Saccharomyces cerevisiae S288C: one gene and its partners. The protein of the gene in region 1 purifies or fractionates together with the protein of each later gene. This does not show direct contact. Each region holds a gene or a part of one and is shown on either strand. Other genes may lie near its edges.

What was found.
Region 2: the proteins of CEG1 (region 1) and FUN12 purify together in Saccharomyces cerevisiae (affinity purification with mass spectrometry, with the first as the bait; 2 studies listed by BioGRID). This does not show direct contact.
Region 3: the proteins of CEG1 (region 1) and LSM12 purify together in Saccharomyces cerevisiae (affinity purification with mass spectrometry, with the first as the bait; 2 studies listed by BioGRID). This does not show direct contact.

What each region holds. Positions count from the first base shown.
Region 1 is NC_001139.9:262,853-269,633, forward strand, and holds CEG1 (mRNA guanylyltransferase), read left to right. Parts: upstream 1-3,292; coding exon 3,293-4,672; downstream 4,673-6,781. Other genes in the region: DNA-binding E3 ubiquitin-protein ligase SNT2, read right to left, coding at 1-3,007; mitochondrial 37S ribosomal protein mS29 RSM23, read right to left, coding at 4,871-6,223; U2-type spliceosomal complex subunit CWC23, read right to left, coding at 6,441-6,781. UniProt on the Saccharomyces cerevisiae protein: Second step of mRNA capping. Transfer of the GMP moiety of GTP to the 5'-diphosphate terminus of RNA via a covalent enzyme-GMP reaction intermediate.
Region 2 is NC_001133.9:73,815-79,935, forward strand, and holds FUN12 (translation initiation factor eIF5B), read left to right. Parts: upstream 1-2,612; coding exon 2,613-5,621; downstream 5,622-6,121. Other genes in the region: YAL037W (uncharacterized protein), read left to right, coding at 206-1,009; GTP-binding protein RBG1, read right to left, coding at 1,229-2,338; MIND complex subunit MTW1, read left to right, coding at 5,904-6,121. UniProt on the Saccharomyces cerevisiae protein: Plays a role in translation initiation. Translational GTPase that catalyzes the joining of the 40S and 60S subunits to form the 80S initiation complex with the initiator methionine-tRNA in the P-site base paired to the start codon.
Region 3 is NC_001140.6:351,255-353,819, reverse strand, and holds LSM12 (Lsm12p), read right to left. Parts: upstream 1,065-2,565; coding exon 501-1,064; downstream 1-500. Other genes in the region: iron-sulfur cluster assembly protein CIA2, read right to left, coding at 1-195; mismatch repair ATPase MSH1, read right to left, coding at 1,367-2,565.

The DNA of each region.
Region 1 (6,781 bases):
GGTATTTTTCAAGGGCGACAGAAGTTTCCTTAGAATGTGAAATAACTGTATAATTGTACGATGCCCCGTTTGGTTCGTTTAACGGATTACTTAACGCTATGTCATTGATCATTTTGATCTTCTTCGTTGAAGGTTCATTATATTTTGGCAGCTTATTATTCACTAACTTTAAGCTATTCCGTAATCGCTGAAATGTTTTGTTATCAAATTTGACAAATTTAAAACCTTTATCTACAGACACTGAACCAGAAGAACTGCCGCCTGTTTTAATTGAAATTTCTATCAAATCATTCGAAGCATTAGTGATTTTAGGAATATTGTTATTACTAGCCTTCTCGATAAATACATCGTTGCACTTGCGATTTCGGCTTGTATCACTTGTTTTGATAGTACCAGGTGATTGTCGAATTATGTTCACGGGAAATTCGTCCTTTGTGTTTTTCGCTCTTTCTGGCTTTTGTTCAGGGATGGCTTTTCTTACCTCTTTGTTGTCCTCTATAAATAGCTCAAGATCTCGTTGCATCGTCTCCGGGTGAAACTCATTCTTTCGATATGATCTCACAGCCATTTTGTAGAGTTGCGTGTGGAATGTCATGGAATACCGCTTCATTTTCACAAATGAATTTGGGTTCTTGTAAACTTTCATTCTTTGCCTGATAATTAGCTCTGAATCCTGAACAAGTTCCCATTCTAGTAGTTTATTATGAGCTTGAAAGGGAGATAACGTAAACTTGTTTGTGTTATTCTCCTCTATAATCCCTTCTATCGCTGAATAAAAACTATTCTGACAGGTTCCCGTTATTTTTCTCAATGTTTCAAGCGGTGGTACCCACTTAATTGCGTATCTTCGCCACATACGAGCACAACGAATGCAAAGAGCGCCAAGTTTTTCATTCTTTTTGCTATGGGCAGGCGATTTCTCTGAAATTTCTGTTTTTTCGTTGACTCCTGTCTGCATTCTTATCTTGATCTTTTCATCATCTGAACCTCCAGTAACTCTATACCACATCGGGGAGTAATCTGTTTTACAAAACATGCATTGGAAGGAGGATTCTGCTAAAGAGAGTTTCTCAGTATCAAAAGAAGAATCATCTATATACTTTGTCTCTACGTCATTTTCATGATTAGCGATTTCTTTTTTTCTTTTATTCTTTGATAACTTACTCAATTTCCCTCTCACGGTAAGGCCTCTTTCAGTCTTTTTCCAATTGTAATAAAATCTAACAATCATCGACATAGGTTGAGTGCCCACATACTCACACACTGGGCGTAATTCACTCCCAAATTTCTCGACAGCTTCCTCAAACTTTCGGATCTCCACGGCGGTAAAACTTGGCTCTTTCAAAAATTTTCTGGAAAGCTCCCTTTTACATTTTTTAAATGCCTCTGCTGTATCATAATTTGTAAATAATAAATTCTTTAGGACTACATCAATGAAATTACAAGTCTCACCTCTCACATTGAGAATAGGGCATATTTCGCTTTTGCATTGTTCAATATATTCACTCAATTTTCGAGTAGTAATTTTTGATGCATCAAGTACCCATGCTAGTTCCGAAGTTTTCGTTGAGCCTCGCTCTTCTTCTGAATTTGCACTTATATACGAGTTCCGCCTCCAGGGCACATTATGATTACATCCGTTCCATTGATACTTCACTCCTACCCTAGAGGGTTTGAAAGGATATGGAAAAAACATAGAATCATTTAATGCGTCACCAATATGAGAAATGGAATATATTCCTAAGTATTGAAACCAGCAATTTTCGGTATTATAACCAACATTCTCTTTGATAGCTTTGCTAGAAATTTCTTCAATTTTTTGTCTTACAGAGCGAATAAAATCCAGTTCCAGTGCTTGTTCTTCTAGAAACCTAACATGCGAGTCCTTAGTACCTTGTTGTTTCTGTAAGCAACTGAAGCAGGTCCAAACGACGTCTTTGTTCGGCTTCCTGTCAAGTGGCGGATCCATACAGTATAGATGTGCACAAACGCCGCATTCATCACATGAAAGGCTCTCCTTTTGGATACACCATTCTTTACAGAACTGACATCTTTTATCCCATTGGTAGTCTGCAGGACTTAATTCGTTTACCTCTAGTTCATGGAAAACGTATTTCTTCAAAACGTTCTCCAATGGATACTTCGGTTCTGTATAGATATAACGAAATCTCCTATTCAAAACATAAAGAAATGGCGACTTACTGTTCCATTTATTTAATATTTTATCCGTGCTGTAAACTTTGTAATATTTCAAAGTATATCTGTCAAAAAGTTCATCAAAGTAAAAGATATTGGGTCGTATAATGCATTCCTTCTCATTAGGAAGAACATCAAAAACTTCGTCTTTATGAAATATACTACATTTTCCCCTGTATGATGAAATAGGACATATGTCCTGGTGTAATGATGCATACACCAACCTTGGGTTAAAAGTATTTACGTGCTCTTGAATATCCCTAGGACGATAAAACCAATTCATTCTAACTTGAAAAAATTTAGCAGGGAAGACCGATGTTGTCTTTATAGCTTCATGAATAGTGTTAGAAAATTCTGGTTTACTAACAAAATTTACAACTCTGCCAACATAATAAGGCTCGCCAGCAGGCTCTGATATCATATAAATAGTGTCGTTCGCAGATAAAAGGACAGATTCTGTATTGAAAAGAGACATCTTTTTCAAGTCAATCATGGCATCATCTAGATCAAGTATGTTAGAGAATCTGCTATTCTTTCTGAACGAAGGGGGTAATGTAGGGATAAAGTTCCAGCAAGTATTCTTATCATGAAGGAATTTTTGGTACTTGAATTTCTCGTTTCTACTAGCTGGATTGCTTGTCCTTTTACAATTCCTGGGAGTTTGGCTATTGCTACCCTTGGTCTTAGCACCACTTTTTTCCGCTATTTGTATTTGTTGAACTAATTTAGTATCTATTTCCATTTCATTATAATTCACGTTTTTAGCAGCCTCTCTTCTTCTAGGTAATTGGAAATCTTCTTCTTTAGGCATAGCGTGACCAGCTGAAAGGCAGATGATCTCAATATGTCCCGATAGGCCAATTTTGCCACCAGATAGTTCGATGGCATTTTATTTTTAGTCCTTTTGAAAGCAATATCATAAAATATATATAGTTCTCCATGATGTTCGGGTCAGTCGCTCCGAAGCGTAACCTAGTATAATAAATAGTTCATTGCAGAAAATAACGAAAGAAATGGTGGAATACGATCTGTTATATCTAAACTAAAGCTAACTAACGGAATAAGCAAATACGAATCGACCGCTAATTTAACAAATATGGTTTTAGCAATGGAAAGTAGAGTGGCACCGGAAATTCCTGGGCTCATTCAACCTGGGAATGTCACGCAAGACTTGAAGATGATGGTCTGTAAATTATTGAATTCCCCAAAACCTACGAAAACATTCCCTGGTTCCCAGCCTGTGTCCTTTCAGCATTCTGATGTGGAAGAGAAGCTGCTTGCGCATGATTACTACGTTTGTGAGAAAACAGATGGTCTGCGGGTGTTGATGTTTATAGTGATAAATCCTGTGACGGGTGAGCAAGGATGCTTTATGATTGATAGGGAAAATAACTATTATCTGGTTAATGGATTTAGGTTTCCCAGATTACCCCAAAAGAAGAAAGAAGAGCTGCTAGAGACTCTTCAAGATGGCACCTTATTAGATGGTGAACTTGTCATACAAACTAACCCAATGACAAAATTACAAGAGTTGCGTTATTTAATGTTCGATTGTCTTGCTATCAATGGTAGATGTCTCACACAATCACCAACAAGTTCTAGACTAGCCCACCTTGGAAAAGAATTTTTTAAACCATACTTCGATTTAAGAGCAGCGTACCCTAATCGTTGTACTACTTTTCCGTTCAAAATTTCCATGAAACATATGGATTTCAGTTACCAATTAGTAAAAGTTGCTAAAAGTTTAGATAAACTACCACATCTTTCTGATGGTCTGATATTTACTCCTGTGAAGGCACCTTACACTGCCGGCGGAAAAGATTCATTGTTATTAAAATGGAAGCCAGAACAAGAAAACACCGTGGACTTCAAATTGATTTTAGATATCCCAATGGTGGAGGATCCTTCTTTGCCTAAAGATGATCGGAACAGGTGGTATTACAATTATGACGTTAAGCCAGTTTTCAGCTTATATGTCTGGCAAGGCGGAGCTGATGTCAATTCACGTTTAAAACATTTCGACCAGCCTTTCGATAGGAAGGAATTTGAAATATTAGAAAGAACATACAGAAAATTTGCAGAGTTGAGCGTTTCAGATGAGGAATGGCAAAATTTGAAGAACCTAGAACAGCCATTAAATGGTAGAATAGTAGAGTGCGCAAAAAACCAAGAGACTGGGGCGTGGGAAATGTTAAGATTCAGGGATGATAAGTTAAATGGTAATCATACATCGGTGGTCCAGAAAGTTTTGGAGAGTATCAACGATTCAGTTTCATTGGAGGACCTCGAGGAAATTGTTGGTGATATTAAAAGGTGCTGGGACGAGAGAAGAGCAAATATGGCTGGTGGTAGTGGGAGACCACTACCGTCTCAAAGTCAAAATGCGACATTATCTACCTCTAAGCCAGTCCATTCACAGCCCCCAAGTAATGATAAGGAGCCAAAATATGTAGACGAGGATGATTGGTCGGATTAGGCTAAGAAGTGTTCGTATCGACATATATCGGTGTAAGAATTTTGTGTATGAATAAGATAGAAAAGCAAAAGCAATTGCTTTTGCTAAATTAATTCAGTTAGTTATCTATTTATATGTACATGAGAAATGGGAGAATTTTGAGAAGCGAGGGTGAAAGTGTTATATACGCATATACATGTATATATATGCGCATGCTTATCACCTATGGGAAAGGACTAAACTTTTCAATAATTCTCTTGGGTTACCGTTACCACTTAGGAAATATTTTTCGTCAATCAAGTTCTCCCACTTTTTTCCTGTGATATCCTTGTCTAATAAAACATTTGATTGTTTGTAGTAATCGATTAGTTCGTTAACTTCCTGTTTGTTCAGTTTAGGAACCTCGAATTCGGTGACATTACCTTTTTGGAGCAATTCTACGAACTTCGGTTCATAGTGATATCTAGTAACATAGGGGTCTACTGGGATCTTGCCCAATGCCACGGGTAAAGTTTTGTTTGTCCTGTCAACGCCGGATATAGCTAATATAGTAGAACTCTCACCATTAGCAAATTTCGTCTCTCCTGAAATAATGTCCATCATCAATTTACCCATTTGTAAATCCAGGGAATATATTTGTTTATTCTCTGTATTTCTGTACGCAGAATATGCAGTAGTTAACACTTTTGAAAAATTATCCACTGTAAACATGATTGGCACCTTGGATTGGACAGATAACTCATCAATAATGGCTTTCATTAGTTTTCCACGATTATGCGGGTGGGTCATTACGGATAACAAATCTAAAACTGTATTTTTCGTTTTGTTTAATGTGACAAATGGTTTTACAGAGGCATTCTTTGGGTTTGCATTCGAGAACTTGTAGTCTTTGGATAGCTCAATAGATTTTAACAATGCAGGGTCATTTGCCTTCAATATTTTCCTTATAAGCTTTTTCAAATACATCGGTTGGATGAAAAGCTTTAAATCATCATCATAAGAAAAGTCATTCCTACCGTTCAGGAATAATTCAGGATATGATATGTTAATAATGATTTGCTTGGAATCAACTGCATATGCATGCGCTTGAGAGAGTAGTACAGTTTTCCCGACCCCTGGCTCTCCAGTGATTATAAATTTTTTAACAGGATGAGATACTAGTTTCTTCAAAAAGCTATTCGTTGCATCTTCACGAACTAGACAAACCGGTTTTTGAAAAAGTTCATTGAACTGCGACTTCTTGAAGGAACCCAAATGGTGAAGGGATTTGTACTGTTTGTTGGAATATGATACTACTTTATTCAAAGTCTTGGAAATATCATCAAAGTTGAAGATAGGTAATGCCAAAGGAACGGCGGTCTGTTGTAATTGAGCGGTGTGCGTGGTGTTTGTCCAGTTTTTATACAATGAACCAGGAGTAACTCTCTTTGCAGATGAGTAAGATGAGACTGAAGATGATTTTTTGGAAAATCCTTGAGTTTTACCTTTTGGTGCCGGTTTAGCAGCCTGGAGAGATCGTGCCGTAGTGAACAGCCTTTGCCCAATGAATCTTGAAGTTGACATACGTAGCATTATTCTGATACGTATACCACGTGGCTTGTACTTGTTCTCTTGTTAATGTTTTCCCTCGAAGTATAGAAGTTGATGTATATATACAATATACATATATATATATTCTTGTACATAGTACTTGCTGAGTTTCCTTTTCTTTTTCTTCCGTTTTGTAAGAAAGCCCCGGAAAATATAGTGTTCCATAGGATAAAGAAAAACAGGCATACATATGTGCAAGCTAGTCGAGTAGGATAGGTTCATTAGAGACCAGTCTTGCAATATCGTCATTCAGTTCCGTCTCCAAATTAAAATCAGAGTAGTAATGTAGCGGGATCAAGGGCGAAATATCCTTGACCGTGGGTATGAGGTTCCCACTTGACCAGTTTCGGAATACGTGCTGCGCTGTGATGGGAGTATCGAATACAGTATATATGATGATTGAATCATCCTTCGAGTAGTTGTTTCTTTCAGAGAAGTAGATGTCGTAGATTTCATTAGCACTTAGCGTGATGAATACTTGATTGCGCAAATGAGATAAGCAGTTTGATTTATTATTTGATTGCAGGAAGTTGTCAAGGA
Region 2 (6,121 bases), on another chromosome or scaffold:
ATTGATCCTCTTATCAGAAACGATAAGTGCTACTCCGTCCTATTCTTCTAGCCATCTAGTACGTATTCTTTTCATAACATAATCCCTTATTTACAGAATGTGTTTCGAAGAAAAATTAATTAGATGGGAAGAAAACTGAAGTGGCTTATATAATCAGTGACATAGTGCCAATAATTACGCAAAAAGCAAAGGAAATAACACTGCTATGGATATGGAAATCGAAGATTCAAGCCCCATAGATGACCTGAAGTTACAAAAACTGGATACCAATGTTTATTTTGGACCCTGTGAGATATTGACACAACCTATTCTTTTGCAATATGAAAATATTAAGTTCATCATTGGTGTCAATCTAAGTACTGAAAAGATAGCGTCGTTTTATACCCAGTATTTCAGGAACTCTAATTCGGTAGTCGTGAATCTTTGCTCACCAACTACAGCAGCAGTAGCAACAAAGAAGGCCGCAATTGATTTGTATATACGAAACAATACAATACTACTACAGAAATTCGTTGGACAGTACTTGCAGATGGGCAAAAAGATAAAAACATCTTTAACACAGGCACAAACCGATACAATCCAATCACTGCCCCAGTTTTGTAATTCGAATGTCCTCAGTGGTGAGCCCTTGGTACAGTACCAGGCATTCAACGATCTGTTGGCACTCTTTAAGTCATTTAGTCATTTTGGAAATATCTTGGTTATATCATCACATTCCTATGATTGCGCACTTCTCAAATTTCTTATTTCCAGGGTGATGACCTACTATCCACTAGTGACCATCCAGGATTCTTTGCAATATATGAAAGCAACCCTGAACATATCCATCAGTACATCCGATGAGTTCGATATTCTGAATGATAAAGAACTGTGGGAGTTTGGCCAAACCCAGGAAATTCTAAAACGTAGGCAGACGAGCTCAGTCAAGAGGAGATGTGTCAATTTACCAGAAAACTCTACGATCGATAACAGAATGCTTATGGGTACCACAAAGCGAGGTCGCTTTTGAAGAGCCCTCGGTAGCATAACATTTTTAATTATTACGACTGTTTTTTTTATTCATTATGTAGAGATAATTAAATGTTATAGATGCTCTATACTCAAACGGTGGAAGAAAAACAGCGAAAAAAAATAACCGATACCCCCTTTTCGAATACAAATGCTTGTATATTCAATTATGAATTATTTTTTTTTTTTTTCATTTCTTATATTATTTTTTGTTCGAGAATCACTTTTTCAAGATGGTAACAACATCTTCGTCTTCCAAAATGTGACTCAACCCCACGTATTGAGGTTGATGTTTGACACTGCTACCGTAAACCAGAGCATTTCTAAAGTCGTCCACTAAAGATTTATGAATTTGGTTACAAAAATCCTTGACACTGCAACGGTCTGATCTTAGCACCACAGGGTCGGTAAAATCTGGTATTTGGCCCTTTGGTTTAGTGTAAATACGGACTAGATTTAGTCTATCCCACATGACTTGCAACAGCTCGTCCAAGTTCCAATCTTGACCAGACGAAATAGGCACGGCATTAGGAATTCGGTAAAGTAATTCCAATTCCTCTATTGACAGAGAATCAATCTTGTTTAACACATAGATGGCAGGCATGTATCTTCTTGACGAAGCTTCCAAAACATCAATCAAATCATCCACAGTGGCATCACACCTGAAGGCAATCTCAGCGCTATTTATTCTGTACTCGCTCATAACGGCTCTGATTTCGTCATTCCCCAGATGGGTCAATGGGACTGTGTTTGTGATGGAAATACCACCTTTCTCTTTTTTTTTGATCAAGATATCTGGCGGAGTTTTATTCAGACGAATCCCCACACCTTCCAGTTCCTTCTCAATGATTTGCTTATGATGCAAGGGTTTGTTCACATCTAGGATGATAAATAACAGGTTACAGGTTCTTGCCACGGCAATAACTTGCTTACCTCTACCTCTACCATCCTTAGCACCATCGATAATACCAGGTAAATCCAACATTTGGATCTTGGCACCTTTATAACGAATGACACCGGGGACGGTAACCAGGGTGGTAAACTCGTACTCAGCTGCTTCAGACTCAGTACCAGTCAACTTGGACAGTAATGTAGATTTCCCCACCGACGGGAACCCGACAAACCCCACACTGGCCACACCAGTTCTAGCCACATCAAAACCAATACCAGCACCACCACCGCTGCCGGATGAAGCACTGGTCAACAATTCTCTTCTCAGTTTGGCCAGCTTGGCCTTCAGTTGACCCAAATGGAAAGATGTGGCCTTGTTCTTTTGGGTACGGGCCATTTCATCTTCGATAGCTTTGATTTTTTCAACTGTAGTAGACATTTTGCTCAATCAACAACTCTACGCTTGCACCTACTGCATCTAGCTTCAAACACTTCCTATCATTGCGCCCTCATCACACCGTAATATCCCATCTTAAAAGTGGAAAACTCTTATAGCTCATCGATGAAAAAAACGGGCCCTCGTCGCTTGTGATGTGAAAAAATTTTTCAAGCTTTAAGCCCATTGAAAGCAAGAGATCTTGCACTAGAATAAGTGGCAAAGGTGAACTTTGAGGGGATAAGAAGGGCAATCAGGAACATCAGATAAGTGAAAGATGGCGAAAAAGAGTAAAAAGAACCAACAGAACTACTGGGATGAGGAATTCGAAGAAGACGCCGCCCAGAACGAAGAAATCAGTGCCACGCCAACTCCAAATCCAGAAAGCAGCGCAGGTGCAGATGACACTTCCAGAGAAGCAAGTGCAAGTGCTGAAGGTGCTGAGGCCATTGAAGGCGACTTCATGTCTACTTTGAAGCAATCGAAGAAGAAGCAAGAAAAGAAGGTTATTGAAGAGAAGAAGGATGGTAAGCCTATACTAAAGTCCAAGAAGGAAAAGGAGAAGGAAAAAAAGGAAAAGGAGAAGCAGAAGAAGAAAGAACAAGCTGCCAGGAAGAAGGCCCAACAGCAAGCTCAAAAGGAGAAGAACAAGGAGTTGAACAAGCAAAATGTTGAAAAAGCTGCTGCTGAGAAGGCTGCTGCTGAGAAATCCCAAAAATCTAAAGGTGAAAGTGATAAACCAAGTGCTAGTGCTAAGAAGCCAGCCAAGAAAGTACCTGCCGGTTTGGCTGCTTTGAGACGTCAATTAGAATTGAAGAAACAACTTGAAGAACAAGAAAAGTTGGAAAGAGAGGAAGAAGAAAGATTGGAGAAAGAAGAGGAGGAAAGATTGGCCAACGAAGAAAAAATGAAGGAAGAAGCTAAAGCAGCTAAAAAGGAAAAGGAGAAGGCAAAGCGTGAAAAACGAAAGGCTGAAGGTAAGCTATTGACCAGAAAGCAAAAAGAAGAAAAGAAATTATTGGAAAGAAGACGTGCCGCTTTATTGTCTTCCGGTAACGTCAAAGTTGCCGGTCTGGCCAAGAAGGATGGAGAAGAAAACAAACCAAAGAAGGTTGTTTACAGCAAGAAGAAGAAGAGAACAACCCAGGAAAACGCCTCCGAAGCCATTAAATCTGACTCTAAGAAAGACTCGGAAGTTGTACCTGATGACGAACTCAAAGAATCCGAAGATGTTTTGATTGATGATTGGGAAAATTTGGCTCTTGGTGATGATGACGAGGAGGGAACCAACGAAGAAACGCAAGAATCCACCGCAAGCCATGAAAATGAAGACCAAAATCAAGGCGAAGAAGAAGAAGAAGGAGAAGAAGAAGAAGAAGAAGAAGAAGAAAGAGCACATGTGCATGAAGTTGCCAAAAGCACACCAGCAGCTACACCAGCAGCTACTCCAACTCCATCCAGCGCTTCTCCAAACAAAAAAGATCTTCGTTCCCCAATTTGTTGTATTTTGGGTCATGTCGATACCGGTAAGACTAAATTGTTAGACAAAATCAGACAAACCAACGTTCAAGGTGGTGAAGCTGGTGGCATCACCCAACAGATTGGTGCCACTTATTTCCCCATCGACGCTATTAAGGCAAAAACTAAAGTTATGGCTGAATATGAAAAACAAACTTTTGATGTCCCAGGTCTTTTGGTTATTGATACCCCAGGTCACGAATCCTTCTCTAACTTACGTTCAAGAGGTTCTTCATTGTGTAACATCGCAATTTTGGTTATTGACATTATGCATGGTTTGGAACAACAGACTATTGAATCTATCAAACTGTTAAGAGATAGAAAGGCTCCATTTGTCGTTGCCCTAAACAAAATTGATAGATTATATGACTGGAAAGCCATTCCAAACAATTCATTCAGAGACTCCTTTGCAAAGCAATCAAGAGCTGTTCAAGAGGAATTTCAATCTAGGTATTCTAAGATTCAATTGGAATTAGCTGAACAAGGTTTGAATTCGGAATTGTATTTCCAAAACAAAAATATGTCTAAGTATGTCTCCATTGTCCCAACATCTGCCGTCACCGGTGAGGGTGTTCCAGATTTATTGTGGTTGCTATTAGAATTGACCCAAAAGAGGATGTCCAAACAATTGATGTACTTGTCTCACGTGGAAGCAACCATTTTGGAAGTGAAAGTCGTAGAAGGTTTTGGTACCACAATTGATGTTATCTTGTCCAACGGTTACTTGAGAGAAGGTGACCGTATTGTACTGTGTGGTATGAATGGTCCAATTGTAACGAATATCAGAGCATTACTAACACCACAACCATTACGTGAACTACGTTTGAAATCTGAATATGTCCACCACAAAGAAGTCAAGGCTGCTTTAGGTGTCAAGATTGCCGCTAATGATTTAGAAAAAGCCGTTTCTGGTTCTAGGCTGCTAGTTGTCGGTCCTGAAGATGACGAAGATGAATTGATGGACGACGTTATGGATGATTTGACTGGTTTGTTGGACTCCGTTGACACAACTGGTAAAGGTGTTGTGGTCCAAGCATCCACCTTGGGTTCTTTGGAAGCTTTGTTGGATTTCTTGAAAGACATGAAAATCCCTGTGATGTCTATCGGGTTAGGTCCAGTGTACAAGCGTGATGTTATGAAAGCCTCCACTATGTTGGAAAAGGCTCCAGAGTATGCCGTGATGTTATGTTTTGATGTTAAAGTGGATAAGGAAGCTGAACAATACGCTGAACAAGAAGGAATTAAGATCTTTAATGCAGACGTCATCTATCATTTATTTGATTCATTTACAGCATACCAAGAAAAGTTATTGGAAGAACGTCGTAAAGATTTCCTAGATTACGCTATTTTCCCATGTGTCTTACAAACCTTACAAATTATTAACAAACGTGGTCCAATGATTATTGGTGTAGACGTTCTGGAAGGTACTCTACGTGTGGGAACTCCTATTTGCGCTGTGAAAACCGACCCTACTACAAAGGAAAGACAAACTTTGATATTAGGTAAAGTCATCTCTTTAGAAATCAACCATCAACCTGTCCAAGAAGTAAAGAAGGGCCAAACCGCTGCTGGTGTTGCCGTCCGTCTAGAAGATCCCTCCGGTCAACAACCTATCTGGGGTCGTCATGTTGACGAGAATGATACATTATACTCCTTGGTTTCAAGAAGATCTATTGACACTTTGAAGGATAAAGCTTTTAGGGACCAAGTTGCTAGATCCGATTGGCTGCTATTGAAGAAGCTGAAGGTCGTTTTCGGCATCGAATGAGCATGGCATACGCTGACTTGTCAACCCAATCACATTCTACAAAATTTAATGAATTAAATAGGTAATTGTATATAAAAATGTGAACCTTTGTGTATTAGTTTCAATTCTATCTTACTTTTCATTGCCATTTTACTTCTTTCACCTTGCTGTCTTTCAACCTTGGAAATTTTTATAGTACGCGTAAACAAAAAAGGTAAATAAGAGGCATTGAATATAAGTTGGCATTTATTAGGAAGTTGAGTAATAACACGTTGAAACTGGGTTAAGACGATCAAAACAACCATGTCTGCTCCCACTATGAGATCCACCTCAATATTGACAGAGCATTTGGGATATCCGCCCATCTCGCTTGTTGATGATATCATTAATGCTGTAAATGAAATTATGTACAAGTGCACTGCTGCCATGGAAAAATATCTGCTATCCAAGAGCAAAATCGGCGAGGAAGATTATGGAGAAGAGATCAAAAGTGGAGTTGCTAAGTTGGAATCACTTTTGGA
Region 3 (2,565 bases), on another chromosome or scaffold:
CTTGTCTAAGACCTCTATATCTTGCAATACCTGAGACTTTAAAGAATGGTCTATTTTCAGCAAAAGGCTTCTCCTTTCCAGCGTAGCTTCGTTGCTGAACCCGCCTAACAAAAGGTCCTTGGTACTATCTTCTTTTCTAGTGGGAAGTTGGTTCTCCTCTAAAATGTCGGGATTTTCATTCAAAAACTCAGACATGTGTACTATAAGTGATAACAGGAAATCGTAGAATAATGCAGTAGCAAGATTTTATATTCGACTGGATCTTGAAATACTCGATTTTTTTGCTTGTTAGTCATCACTTATTCGCATTTAAATCTAATTCAATTATTCAAACACCGTACACCCAAGCATTGCGACTGAGAAGAGAGTGGTGGAATATTATAGTTTGATAAATAGAAAAATCTGTAGACTCAAATGGATCTCTTTATAAACAATAGTTGACATTATAGAAGTACGGATAAAATATATAACGTATATTATCGTTTCCGTCATTAATTAATCTATCCACCTTTCCTACCATCGTCTTGTTCTAGCTGCTCCCAGCTTCTTTCCACTATTCTTTGAATTAATGTAATGGATTGGTTACTTCCCTCATGTAGCACTTTGATATCTTCGACCTTGTATGGAGGTTGCACCTTAACGTCATCAAGAATAATGATGTCTTTAGCCACCCACTTAGTATCTCCTATGGTCTTGAAGATTTGATCGAAAATGAACTGACCCTCTGCACTCACACCCTTGCCCCTTAAGAGTTCTTTCTTTTTAGATGCTATTACACTTTCTTTCAAAAGCTTCTCAACTCTTTCCACGTTGACATATGAGGGTTTGATTTGTTGCTTTTTGAATGAGTTAAACGAGGGCTTATCACCAATGACTTCCAAATGCTTGATGAATGTACATTTTATCACCTTGAAGTTTTGTGGAGATTGATTCTTCTTTGTTGTTTGGATAGTAAGAGTGTTGTTGGATGAATTGAACGAATACAATCTTCCTTCAGTAACTACATCCAACACGTTCGTAACTTTTATTCTGAATCCGAGCGTTTGCTCAAGGCTGACACTCATGGACGAAAGATGCAAATTGATTTCTTTAGTTACAAGCTTAGATAACCGCTATTTACAAGCCTGGCTCAGAGTGTTTCCTTACCGTAATAAATATCCACCATTATATTCATGGTATAAGGTTTGATCGTTTTGTTTCCGCTAATATCATTCGCGCGACAAACTACGGAAATTTGCAAACTACCGTTTTTGCCATTTTCTAAGTATCTTCACAGTCGCTTTTGAAAAAAAAGACAGGGAAATTGATTCCACATCTTATTATATTACATGTCAAATTATATACAATTAATAGTTGTATTCAAAAGTTATCCCAATATTTCGCGGGCTTCTTTTAACGCTTCCATTGGAAATCCGGCCAATTCCGCAACTCTAATGGCATCTGATTTCGTGCAGATGCCCGGCTTCAACTTATGGTTGTAACAAAAATTGTTTCCACCTAAATCAGTGATTCCGCTTTGGTAAAACTTGACCTTTTCGCTCATTCCTTTCGAACATTTGTTATCAATGATTTGCTTCAGTTCTTGACCAAAATGTGTAGCAAAAAGCGTTCTGCATTGATTGTTCTCTAACAAATACTTTAAAGTTGCATAAGCGATGCTAATGCCTTCTTTACCACTAGTCCCACGGCCAATCTCATCTAGAATAGCTAAAGACCGTTCCGTAGCTCCTTGCAAGATGAACGATGTTTCTATCATCTCAACCATGAACGTACTCATCTCATTGTACAGATCATCTGCTGAACCAACTCGGCTAAAAAGCTTATCTACAATACCCACACGCGCCTTACTGCATGGAACAAAACATCCAATTTGCGCCAGAATGACTATAATTGCATTCTGTCTTAAGAATGTAGATTTACCACCCATATTCGGTCCGGTAATTACCCATAAATTGTCCTTCGCCAATTCGCAGTTATTGGCCGTGAATGTCTCCAAAGAGCGCGCGGAAAGACCCTCTTCAACCATTAGATGTCTCCCATTCACTACTTCTAGTTTATTGCTCTCATCCACTTTTGGGCAGACTAAATTTCTCTCGTTAGCTAACACAGCAAAGGACGATAAGGTATCAAGATAGCCCAGTGTAGTTGCAACTTGTCTGACCTCGTTACTTCTATCAATAAATTTCCTTTTAAAAAGATCAATAATATTAGCCTCTTCATTCCTAATCTTTAAATTTAATAATTCCAACTCGTGCCCCAAGTCTGTCCAAATTTTGTGACTCAACCATCGTGTTTGGCTTGATTTTTGCAAAATATGGAAGCAACTTCCGTGGTACTCCGTCGATTTACTAATTAACTCATCAATTTTCTTTAAACTAGAGGCTGTTCCTGTCACATGGAGGGCATACTCACCGTTTTGCCTTTCCTTCAAGGTGAAAGTCTTAGCACCTAGGTCGCCAACAAAAAAACCTTTTAATAAAGCATTGTACTCAGTTTTTTTTTGCCAAACGCCCTGATAAGTGTCATGCAATTTCCTAAGTTTGGTATTGAACGAAGGGTTTACGA